Macaca fascicularis: one gene and its partner. The main gene of each other region encodes a partner of the protein of the gene in region 2 in a complex. Links are inferred from orthologs where the notes say so. Each region holds a gene or a part of one and is shown on either strand. Other genes may lie near its edges.

Region 1 (6,022 bases), on a different chromosome or scaffold from region 2:
CCCGAGAAACCAAAGAAACACAAGGCCCTAGGGAAAGTCAGCAGCCTAAGGTACCAAATACATTTGCGTCTTCTGCTAATATTCTGCAAAATATTAACATGGTCATATTAGTCTATTTGGTTGAAACCAGGCTCAGTTAATTTTGATAAATCAATTGCAGAGCTTTAAAATATATAGTCACTAATTCTAAATTTTAAAAAAGCTCTTACAAAGATCTACCAGTGTTCTATTTTATATGCCAAGATTTATACTCAAACAGATTACTGGAAACAGGAATAGTCTCAGTTTGTTTGTGTTTATTCTTTGGAAAAATTACTTACAAATGGATCGAATAGATTTTCTTTATATGGCTTCTCCATGTTGGTCTATTATTTTATGCTTTATTATTCTGCCTATGAAGACTGAATCTATGAACACCACAACTTACTTTTCAATTAAAAAATATAATAATTTTCAGGATATTGATGGGTTATTACCATTAACAATTTTATCAATTCAAGGAATAAAAACCATTAAAAGTTAAATCAAAAACATGACCTAGAATGAACCTTGAAAAGCTCTGGCCCTATATACTTACTTTATGGAAGAACGAGCCCGGGAAAGGCAAAAAAGATTGTCCCCAGGTCTCATGGCTAACATATACAAACACTAGTATTTATTGTATTACCATATATACATATTATATATAATTAAATATGATTATAGATGTAAAACAAAATTTTCAGATTCTAATTCTCTGTTTATTTCAAGTAATATTTAATATAGCAAAATGACACAAAAACCAAAGAAGCTGAACAGTTCATATTGATTCACAACACTAGAAAGCACCCTAGGCTAGAAACCAAGGGTAAAACACCAAAATTTCACCATCAGTGCTTGAAAAACAAACCCCAGCATCTGTTCTACTGATAGTGTTTTAAGAGCATCATCCTCATATGAGAAACTACAGTTTAATTCACTGTGAAAAGGTCCTTTTTCCTCTAGCAAATTTTTATGGATGTCCTTTTTCCCCAAAGTTTTAAACTGCTAAAATTCCTGAACTCTAAAGACTCTCGTTTACATCTGTCTATTACTTTTAAAGGAATAGCACCAACTCTTCGGAAACAACATACAAAACGGAGATTCCAACCCTACAAAATATTCGTTGATTTCAACTTACAAAGAAAAGTGCGCCTTATTTAATTTTGCCTACCAAACGATGAGTTTATCTAGGACAGAAGCCATATAGTAGGAACTCTGCAGAATCAAATTTCAATTATCCGGAATAAATGAATTTTTCAAAACATAATTTATAACTGGCCTGAGAAAGATAATTCAGACACAACATAATCTCAGGAACTCTGCCCCTCTGTGACCAACCTACAGTAAACATTTAGGAACAGTATCCAAGTGACTATGTGAACGAGGAGCCCAAGAATCACTGCGGTTCCTCCAGCCACAAAAGTGACATTACAAATTAAGAGGGTTGCATTTTCAAACTAAATCGTATGCTTCTCCTTCCAGCTTCAGATATTGCAAATTAATACAATTCTATGAAATAGTTAAGTGTTGAAATACCTAAAACGAATCATGGCATACATCCAGCCACTATTACTTCAGCCCAAAGCATTCCATGCTATATAACAAATATAGATGTGCTTCAGCATGCTCCTGTCCTGTGCCTCTATGAAGAACTGGCAGTGGTGCTGAAAATCACTACTAGAAAGATGAAAGACCAATACCCTTCTTTCAATAAAAACCATCACTTGGACTCTAGCCAAGGTTTTAAAACTGAATGTTATTAGAAACAATAAATCAACTCTGCGGGCTGAAATGGTAGTCCCTTATTTCATTCATTCTTACAAAGCATGGGCACAAAACACTGTAAGAAATTAAGTGACAATAAAGCATTAATAATTCCAGGCCTTTCACTTCCAGCAATAATCAAATACTCTAGGTTGCAAGTGAATTTATTTCACAATATTCAAGATTCTGTTTAACCTACCTGCATCTCTTTCTCTGTCTTCTTCAATTACTACAACGGCTATATGAATAAATACACTCACTGCTATTGCCCAAACATCCCATCACTAAGCTTATATAAAAATCAAATGGAGAACTAAAATAGTTTAATTCATAAAATCTAGCTAGGTTATGTGTGTTCATATTGATTTTATATTCTTTGTTCCTGCACACAAAATAGATGTGAATTCCTGGAGGTTACAGATAAGTCGGTCTTTCTCTATTCAGCTACTGAGAATTGCCAGCTACTGGGAATAACCTACCGCAATGCTTAAAGCCTCTTAGGTATCTTGTCTTCTGAACATATAAATGGGTTCATTATCTTTATTTTTCCCTGTATTAAGGCAAGATTCCTTATTATCTAACCTTCCAGGAGTGTTAGCACAGAAATTGGGAGGGAATGGGGAGCACGATTCCCGTAATACACAGGTAAGGTATATTGTTTACAATATACTAATTATTTCCCCAGCTAGCAAAAACTTAGCAGAAAATATAAAAATGTAAATAATTCTCTTCACTCCTTCCTCTTCTCTCCATTCCAAAACAAGAGGCAAAAACAAAGATTTTACTACTCTGTAGACTTCATGCAATCAGTAAAGAGTCTTATTATCAAAGCAGAATAGTTGATTACAACGCGTTTACAAAAACTATAACCACTGCCTATGTGATACACACTTAAGTCAAGTTTCAACCCCGTTACAAAGCCTTTGTCAACAGTGGGCAAGAGGGAAAAAGCCGAAGGGCTCTGTGGAATGAAGGAAATCACTGGAGGGGTTTCTCTTGGAAGAGAAGGATTCCTTGGTGAGAGGTGGAAAGAAACAAGACCTAACCTTGGCGAGGGGGCGCTCGCCCAGGGTGAGGACGAGAGGTCAGGGCGAGTAGGGAGAAGGGGATTAGCGCGGAACCGGTGCGACCCGGGGCTGCCCTCGCACCGTGACTCCCCCACCTGCAGCTCACCCTCCCACCGTTCCCCGGCCCCGGCCCGGGGAGCGCCTTTCCTCCCGGCCCTCCGCCTGCATATCCGTTACCCCGGCGGCAGCGGGGCTGCGGGGGAGGGGAAGGACAGCGGATCCGGGAGGCGGCCGGCCGCGGCGGGGATGCCGCAGTGGCTCCCCGCGGCAGCGGGTCAAAGTCTGCCCGGGCACAGGGAGGCAGCCGAAGCGGAAGGCGGCGGTGGACGTCAGGACTGGTGAGATGGTGGCCCCTCCGAGCCCTCCCACACCCCAGCCGCTGCCGGTACCTCATACTGGATGTATTGCTTCCTCCACTCGGGAGTGATGTGCGCGGAGAGGTGCTCGGCGAACTTCATCCTGCCGTTTCCCCCTCACTCCCACTCGGGTCCAGCAGCTACAGGCGGCGGCGGCGGCGGCGGCGGCAACAGCGACTCCGACTCCTCCCCACATGGGCCCCGGCGCGGCGCGGCGCTGCGCTTCTCTCCTCCTCCGCCGCCGCCGAGGTCTCTTCAGAGCCGCCCGCCCGCCATCTTCCTCCTCCTCTCCATAGCCCCGCCCCTCCCCGCCCTCTAGACGTCATCGCCATGGTAACCGCCTACACCGCCCTGACGAAGGGGGTGCTGTAAGGGGTGGGGCTTAGATACGTTTCTTAAGACTCCGCCCCTTGTGGGCCGTACGTGCTGGAGGCACCTCCCCGGACCTCTTCAGTCTGGCTCCTGTTGGCCTACAGCTGCTCTGTACCTCCAGTCTGGGAAGCAGCAGTGTTGTTATTGCAATTAATATTAATACTGTAGCAACAATAATCCACACAAGACGTTTATATTTACAAAGAACTGTGCAAATATTTTTCCATTTTGATATTTATTCTTCATAAAACCCTTAAGAAATGGATCAGCACTAATCCAAACTAAGAAGCTGAAACAGATAGTTCAGAACTAAATGTATTTAAAGGAACAGTATTTTACATACTCTAGGTGCTCAATAAATGCTCACTGAATTTAATTAAAGACATCGATGACAAAAAGTGTTTGCTATTTCTGAATTTCAATGTAGTTGTCTAGTCCCGGGGCTATCAGAAAGGCCAATAAAAACACCAAGTGCGGGTACCAACTGCACTTGTAAAACTGAGCTTCCTGGGGTTGGGGGTGAGGGTTGGCAGGGAAACCAATGTTGAGAGGAAAGACAACCCCCTAGAAGTACAGCTCTAAGCCCACCCCAGTAAAACCAGAAACAGGCCCAGCATCCAGGCTGAGCTGTCCCTGGGGAACTTGGGCAGAGATCACTCACAGAGCTCTGTACTACATTAAATGTGGGAGTGACAGTCTTGGAAGTCCCGATTCAAGACAGAAATCCAGGTCCTGCCCTGGGTGGAAGAGACCTAATAATAATTTATTGAGCACTCACTGTTCCTGTACCAAGTACCATTCTAAACCTCTTACATGTACTTTGTCCCTTAGTTCTAACAGTTGTTTCTTTTTTTTAGTCTCGTTTTGTTGCCCAGGCTGGAGTGCAGTCACACCATCATGGCTCACTGCAGCCTTGACCTCACAAACTTAAGCAATCATCCCACCTCAGCCCCCTGAATAGCTGGGAATACAGGTGCATGCCACCATGCCCAACTAATTTTTTGTTTAGTTTTGGGAGAGATGAGGTTCTTGCTATGTTGCCCGGCTGGTCTTGAGCTCCTGAGCTAAAACAGTCCTCCCACCCAGGCCTCCTAAAGTGCTGGAATTACAGGCATGAGCCACCTTGCTCAGCCTAACCCTCACAATTTCGATGAGACTTCAAGATTTACTAAGGAACTACTATGCCTGGAGCAGTATTCTGAGATACCATTCTCTGCTGTCTTTTTTTTTTCTCCATGTACTTTCCCCCTTTCCCTTCCCCTTTATTCATGCCAATAGGGATTCTGCAATCACTTCCCAGGACAGGGATGACACAAGATGGAAAATAGGCATAGACTATGAGTCTTTCTGGCTTTTTCTGTATAAAAGCCTTAACCTCTGGTGAAAAGGTAATCAAGGTCAAAAAAATAAAGGAAGAAGAGTGAGGACTCCTCTCACCTCAGACCTCCCTCTGCTCACCATCAAGATTCCCCTCTGCTGGAGGTAAACCTTGCCAGGAGAAAGAAACAAGCAAAAAGGAATGTCTGTGCTACCAGGAAGAAGGCGAGACCACAGAAAGGAAATGGCTGTATGTTGCGCCTGGGAAAAGGGAACCAGGGACAGCTACAAAAGAGATTCCTGCCTTTAGCCAGTCATGGACTAGAATGGGAAATTCCTAGTAGCAACCCTGGTGGACCATGGCACACTGCTCCCAGCAGCACCATACCTCCATGCCTTAATTGTGCACAAAATTCTGGAACCATGGCCCAACCCAAGAAAGTAAGGAAACCCTCAAAACTCACTCTAAAATTCTTGATTTTTCTCATGCCTGATCCAGAGCCCTGCCACCTAGGACATGACAATCTTAATTCATCCACAGAAGAAGATTTAATAATAAATTTCCTGCCAGGCGCAGTGACTCACACCTGTAATCCCAGCACTTTGAGAGGCTGAGGCGGGAGGATCACCTGAGGTCAGGAGTTCAAGACCAGCCTGCCCAACATGGTGAAACCCCATCTCTACTAAAAATACAAAAATTAGCCGGATATGGCGGTGCACACCTGTAGTCCCAGCTACTCAGGAGACTAAGGTGAGAGAATCACTTGAACCCGGGAGGTGGAGGTTGCAGTGAGCCAAGATTGCACCACTGCACTCCAGCCTGGGTGACAGAGCAAGACCCCATCTAAAAATAAATAAATAAATACATTTCCTTATTCCCAGCATTATTTTTGGATATTTTACTGATAGAACCATCAAATACTTAGTATTTATTGAACACCAACTCTCTGATTTACTCTGAATCAGAAGAGCCCCCTGACTTAGACTTTCTTTTGTGAATAGGCAAGCAACCCTTCATTTAACAAAACTTGATTGAGGCCTGTGATATTCCAATCATGTCACTTTAGGAATGAAGGACAGTTCAAAAATAAATTAGGACTGTTTTTTCCTTGGAGGAAATCATAA
Region 2 (5,287 bases):
ACAGCTTTCTTTATGGAAAGGTGCCTCTGATCCTTTAACGTACAAGAGGGACACATAATCTGAAGTGTTTCCCACAGTATTTGACCAGGGCATGTTTTTATTTTTGTATGTAAAAGGTTCCAGGTACCAATGTTTTCTGGAACATACATTGAGAAATTATACTCTATAAACTTTTTTTTTGAGACAGAGTTTCGTTCTTGTCACCCAGGCTGGAGTGCAATGGCATGATCCTGGCTCACTGCAACCTCTGCCTCCCTGGTTCAAGCGATTCTCCTGCTTCATCCTTCCAAGTAGCTGGGATTACAGGAATGCACCATGATGCCCCCTCTAGTTTTGTATTTTTAGTAGAGATGGGGTTTCACCATGTTGGGCAGGCTGGTCTCGAACTCCTGACCTCAGGTGATCTGCCCACCTCGGCCTCCCAAAGTGCTGGGATTGCAAGGGTGAGTCACCGCGCCCGGCCCCTATAAATTTTTTGAAGTGAAAAATATTTTTTTCTGAATCTCACTGAAGATTTCTTCTGTCAAATGGAACAACTCACCTCACAGGTAAAGCTTTAGTAGTCTGCTCTGGCAACTCAGGTGGATTCACAAACATCAATTTAAGGAGGAGTTCCAAATATCCAATATGTCTTGCCAATCTAGTGCTGAGGACCCAGGCCCAATTCCAACTCTCTCCTTCTCTTCGTCCACCAAAGTAAATGACAACTGAAATTCACAGTTTAAAAAAGTTATCCAAAGCAGTCATCAGTCAAGCAGATCTTTTCTCCAAAGATCAAATATCAAGCAATGACAGCTAAGCTTACATAGCTTTCTATGGTCCCATACTATTTCCTAACTACTCCTCAAAGAATTCCATTAACCTCCCCTAAGATACAGTAGATACAAAAAATGAAAAGTAAACTGACTAAAATATGCCTTAAACAGAAACATAACTGCAGTTCAGATTCTAATGCAAATGACTTTGGATTTATCACTATTTGCAACTGGTAAAGTTGGTTATCAGTTCCTCTTACAGTAAATCTATTTCTTTTCTTGCAACTGAAGACACCCCCAAGAATAGGGATTATATTTTTTTACTTTGCTTTTAGATAAAATTAAAAGTACAGCCATGGTCAAAATGCTCAAGAGCACACCGTGATGGCTCAGAAGCCCTCTTTTCAGAAAAAAGATTTAAATATAAATCATTAATTAAAGTAAGTATAATAATCTAGGGTCTTACTTCAAGATTAACAAGTAGGAATTAGTTTATAAGCTACTTCCGCCAAGTTGTGAGTAATGTTTCTTTAGGAAAATTTATGAAGTAGCAAAAAGGTCAATTTTCTCACCCTATTAGTGAAAATCACATACAGGTTTTCAAAGACAGATAATGTTTTTTTCTTTATCTATGAATCTTAACATTTTCTCCATTTTTGAAAAAGATAAAAAGCAAAAACTTACTAAAGAATATATATAAGAGAGCCAAGAAGCTCAATGACACTGCTATTCCAAGATTCGGATGGACCGTGAAGGCAAACAATAAACCAAGCCCTCCACAAAGTAGCAGGGTAAGAAACACTATGAGCCACGAGAACTGAAAGAGAGGCTCAATCTGTTGTCCGGCGAAGGTTTTCATTTCATCTGAAAGATAATTTAGTATGAAACCTTATTCCTGTTTTAAGAAACACAACTTTTAACACGATTTGCAGTTTTCACATTTTCAATGTAAACATTTATTGGGCACTTTACTAGGTCCCTAGATAGAATACTGCTACTTAACCATTTTAACCAGTGTTCTCTTGCCAAGATGAACATCTCACCCCCAGGACCACAGCTAGGCCTGGATCACCACCCTCTCCTGCTTCACGTGGAGGATGTACGAAATCCCTTCTCATATACTCCCACCTGTCATTTTCTTGAGATTTTTTTGTGGTTTGCATTAACACAAACATTACGCATATGCATATTGTTTCCACATGCAAAAATAATACTCTATATCTTCAAACTACATGTCACCACCATTCCACTGTGATCGTCCTCATCCCTTCTCCCTCCAATCACAATTGAGAATACTGTGCTTAAAGGTACATGTTGAGCCCAAAGGAGCCCCATACAAGTTATTCTTTGTACAAAACTCTGGGAAATTTTTACAGGTAATACTGAAACCTATCCTTGAAGAACGAGCAAGATTTTGCCAAGCAAAAGGCATACGTGTTAGGTGGGTGGTAGTGAGGCCAGCTAAGAAGCTGCTTATAGAGGGAGCAACCTGGGAAACACGTCTGGTCTGTTCTTGCAAGAGCAAACAGTCCTCTGTGACTGAAGCTGGGGCACATGCCAGAGGTGGTACTGGCAGGTGGGACCATGCAAACTGACAAGTCTGTGAAGGGCCCAAAAAAACCTGCCAGCAAGGGTTTTTATGTAGGTTTATCACACAACTGGATCTGCTTTAGAAAGAGAACTCAAATGACCATGTGAAGGACCAACCAGAGGGGAGTTCATCTCAGTAAACCGTGTAACACACATGCTCATACAGAAAGCGGTCTTCCTCTTTATTTCAGAAAAATCCCCAGAGAAAACCTTGTTTTACATATACAGACTTTGTATAAGCAAGCTCTTTACCTTCTAGTTTCTTGAGTAAGAAAGATTTCCCACTTCCCCACTGTGCATATAACCCCACACAAATAGGTGGCTGCATGGTCGGCTCACTGAGAATATCTGCTAGGGCACTGCTATATAAATCATACCCAAGCATGTCACCATCTGTTTCAGTAGGAGATAAGTGTCCTGTAATTAAAACACATCATATCTTACGTTAAACAGTGGAATTACTATTAGAAAGGAACAATATTTTCATTTATTGTTTACTTGATTAGAAAGGAAAAAATTATTTCAAATGTTTATAACCATGTAAAGACAGTTTCAGGGAGTCTCTGAGCCTACTCTGACTTGGAAGGCTACCTGATTTAAAATTTAAAAAAAAAAGTTTCAGAGATTCTTAAATTACTATCATATTTCATAGAACTTAAGATACCTATTAATTATGAGATACATCTTTTTATATATAACTAAGAAAGAACAAAATGCTGCCAAATTGTGACATCATGCTTTCTTGTCCATCACTTACAAGACACATACCAATTTCAGAGATGTTAAATTATGGGAACAGTGTGCATTTCAGAATCAGTAACATATGATGATTAACACAAATGAGTATGTAAAATAAATTTAATATGTGTAATACCTATACAAAGAAAGTTACAAAATGTTACTGAAGAGCATAATAGGTAAGAGAAAAAGAAACATTCTATGATTCCAAGCAGAAAGGTTCAGCAATTCTCCCAAATTATTCTGTCACTTCAAGGTAGTTCTAATTAAAAACCCATGAGAATTTTGTTTTAATTGAAAGGAAAGAAGAACATGTAAGAACAGGAAAAAAATAATAAAGACTACTGAAGGGTAGTTGTCACTGGAGAATAAAAATGTAAAACAATAATTTGAACATTCTGGAACTCATATAGGATATTAACATAAGTGGCATTTCAAATAAGGCAGGAAAGGATGAATTAGTAAGTGGTGTTGGGAAAGTTTAATCATTCATGAAAAAAATTAAATTAAAATGCTACATACCTCATAGCCTTAACAAAATTTTCTGAAACATTAAAAAATTAAGTAGAAAAAAGTAAAACCATAGAAGTAATAGAAGAAAATACAGGAGAAACTTTAAAAATCTTTGTTTAAAAAGGCTTTTCTTTCTCAATGTAATACTAAGGCCAGAACTGCAGGAAAAGACTAATGAATTAACTACAAAAATGTAAAACTTTTGAATGCGGAATAAAAATCCATGACCATCAACCAAGAGTATGCTGAGGAGAGGGGAATGCAGCACATAGGACACACCCAGGATCAATATCCATAACACAGAAAGACTCTTACATCAATTTTTTTTTAATATTGAAAACTAAAAAGTGGACAAAGGATACTAAAAGGAAACTGGCAAGAATACAAGTAGCCTATGAATATATTACATATTATCTAAGCCAAAAGGCTCAGAAGCAATAGCCTATAAATATATTACAAGATCTCAATTTCACTAATAATTTTAAAACACAAATTGAAATTAGATTTTTTTTTTCTTATTTATCTGATTTGCAAAGAGTAAGAGGCTGGAAATACCCAGTGCTAGCAAACTTGTGGGGAATTGTGGTATCTTACACTGCCAGAGGGAGAAGAAATTTTTACAACCATTTTGGAAAGCGTATCGAAACTACTGGCATCCATTGACTTAGGAATTCTACTTGTGGGAATTTACCCTAAGAAAATAATCCTAATTGTACCCCCTGAATCTCTAATACTATTTTCAAAAGAAAGAAAAAAAATCCTAGAAATAAGAGTCAACGAATATATGTACAAAGGTGTTCGCTGCAGCACTAATTGTTAGCAAAACTAAATATTCACCAACAGAGAACTCAATGTACTATGATGAAAAATTATGCAATAATTAAAATATGATACATTAAGCTTTTGTAACATAGTATAACTCAATTTTTATTTTTTAAAACTATATAGTATATAACATTTTTATAAGCATAAAGAAAAGCCTGGAGGGTCATTTAAACAATTACAAGTTGGGAGATAGGGGATAATGGGGAATTTTCACTTTCTGCTATACTTACATTTTCATTCCTGAAATGTAATTAGTGCACATTACTATTATAATAAGAAAAAATATTTTAAAATACAAAAATCTTAAAAAAATAGAATCATGGCCAGGCACAGTGGCTCATGTCTGTAATCCCAGCACTTTGGGAGGCCAAGGTGGGAGGATCGCTTGGCCCCAGACTAGGGAACATGGCAAGCCCTCGTCTCTACAAAAAAAAATAAAAAATTAGCTGGGTGTGGTGGCATGGGCCTGTAGTTCCAAGTACTCAGGAGGCTGAGGTGGGAGGATCGCTTGAGCCCAGGAATTTGAGGTTGCCGTGAGCTATGACTGCATCACTGTACTCCAGCCTGGGCAACAGAGGGAGACCCAGTGTAGTGGTACGATCTTGGCTTACAGCAATCTCCATCTCCCTGGCTCAAGAGATCCTCCCACCTCAGCCTCCCAAGAAGCTAGGACTACAGGCACACCACCACACTCAGCTCTTTTTTAAATTTTTTGTAGAGATGAGGCCTCACTGTACCGCCCAGGCTTGTCTCAAACTCCTGCGCTCAGGCAATCCTCCTGCCTCGGCCTCCTCAAGTGCTGGGATTACAGGCATGAGTCACCATGCCTGGCCTTATTTTCCATACTTTTTAATGGAACATTCATT

The links.
Region 1: the proteins of KIDINS220 (region 2) and XPR1 are in contact, whole or in part, in a cryo-EM structure (PDB 9JXQ), measured with the Homo sapiens proteins. The link is inferred for Macaca fascicularis from reciprocal best matches to the Homo sapiens genes KIDINS220 and XPR1. Residues at the interface, in NP_065789.1 of Homo sapiens: Glu36, Cys37, Gln39, Asp70, Trp72, Met102, Trp105, Trp110, Tyr113, Lys114, Val138, Ile142, Trp143, Gly146, Arg147, Ser166, Asp167, Lys168, Tyr169, Gly170, Trp176, Arg179, Lys180, Gln198, Glu199, Gly200, Ala201, Ser203, Lys234, Arg267; in NP_004727.2 of Homo sapiens: Leu95, Lys189, Lys190, Gln193, Glu197, Ala200, Asn204, Glu205, Ala636, Asp637, Asp638, Leu641, Leu642, Gln644, Met645, Met646, Asp647, Gln648, Asp649, Asp650, Val652, Arg653, Asn654, Arg655.

What each region holds. Positions count from the first base shown.
Region 1 is NC_088375.1:38,121,541-38,127,562, reverse strand, and holds the start of XPR1 (solute carrier family 53 member 1), read right to left. Parts: upstream 3,509-6,022; 5' UTR 3,311-3,508; coding exon 3,242-3,310; intron 1-3,241. UniProt on the Homo sapiens protein: Inorganic ion transporter that mediates phosphate ion export across plasma membrane.
Region 2 is NC_088387.1:113,305,338-113,310,624, reverse strand, and holds part of KIDINS220 (kinase D-interacting substrate of 220 kDa), read right to left. Parts: intron 2,763-5,287; coding exon 2,598-2,762; intron 1,620-2,597; coding exon 1,440-1,619; intron 708-1,439; coding exon 542-707; intron 1-541. UniProt on the Homo sapiens protein: Promotes a prolonged MAP-kinase signaling by neurotrophins through activation of a Rap1-dependent mechanism. Provides a docking site for the CRKL-C3G complex, resulting in Rap1-dependent sustained ERK activation.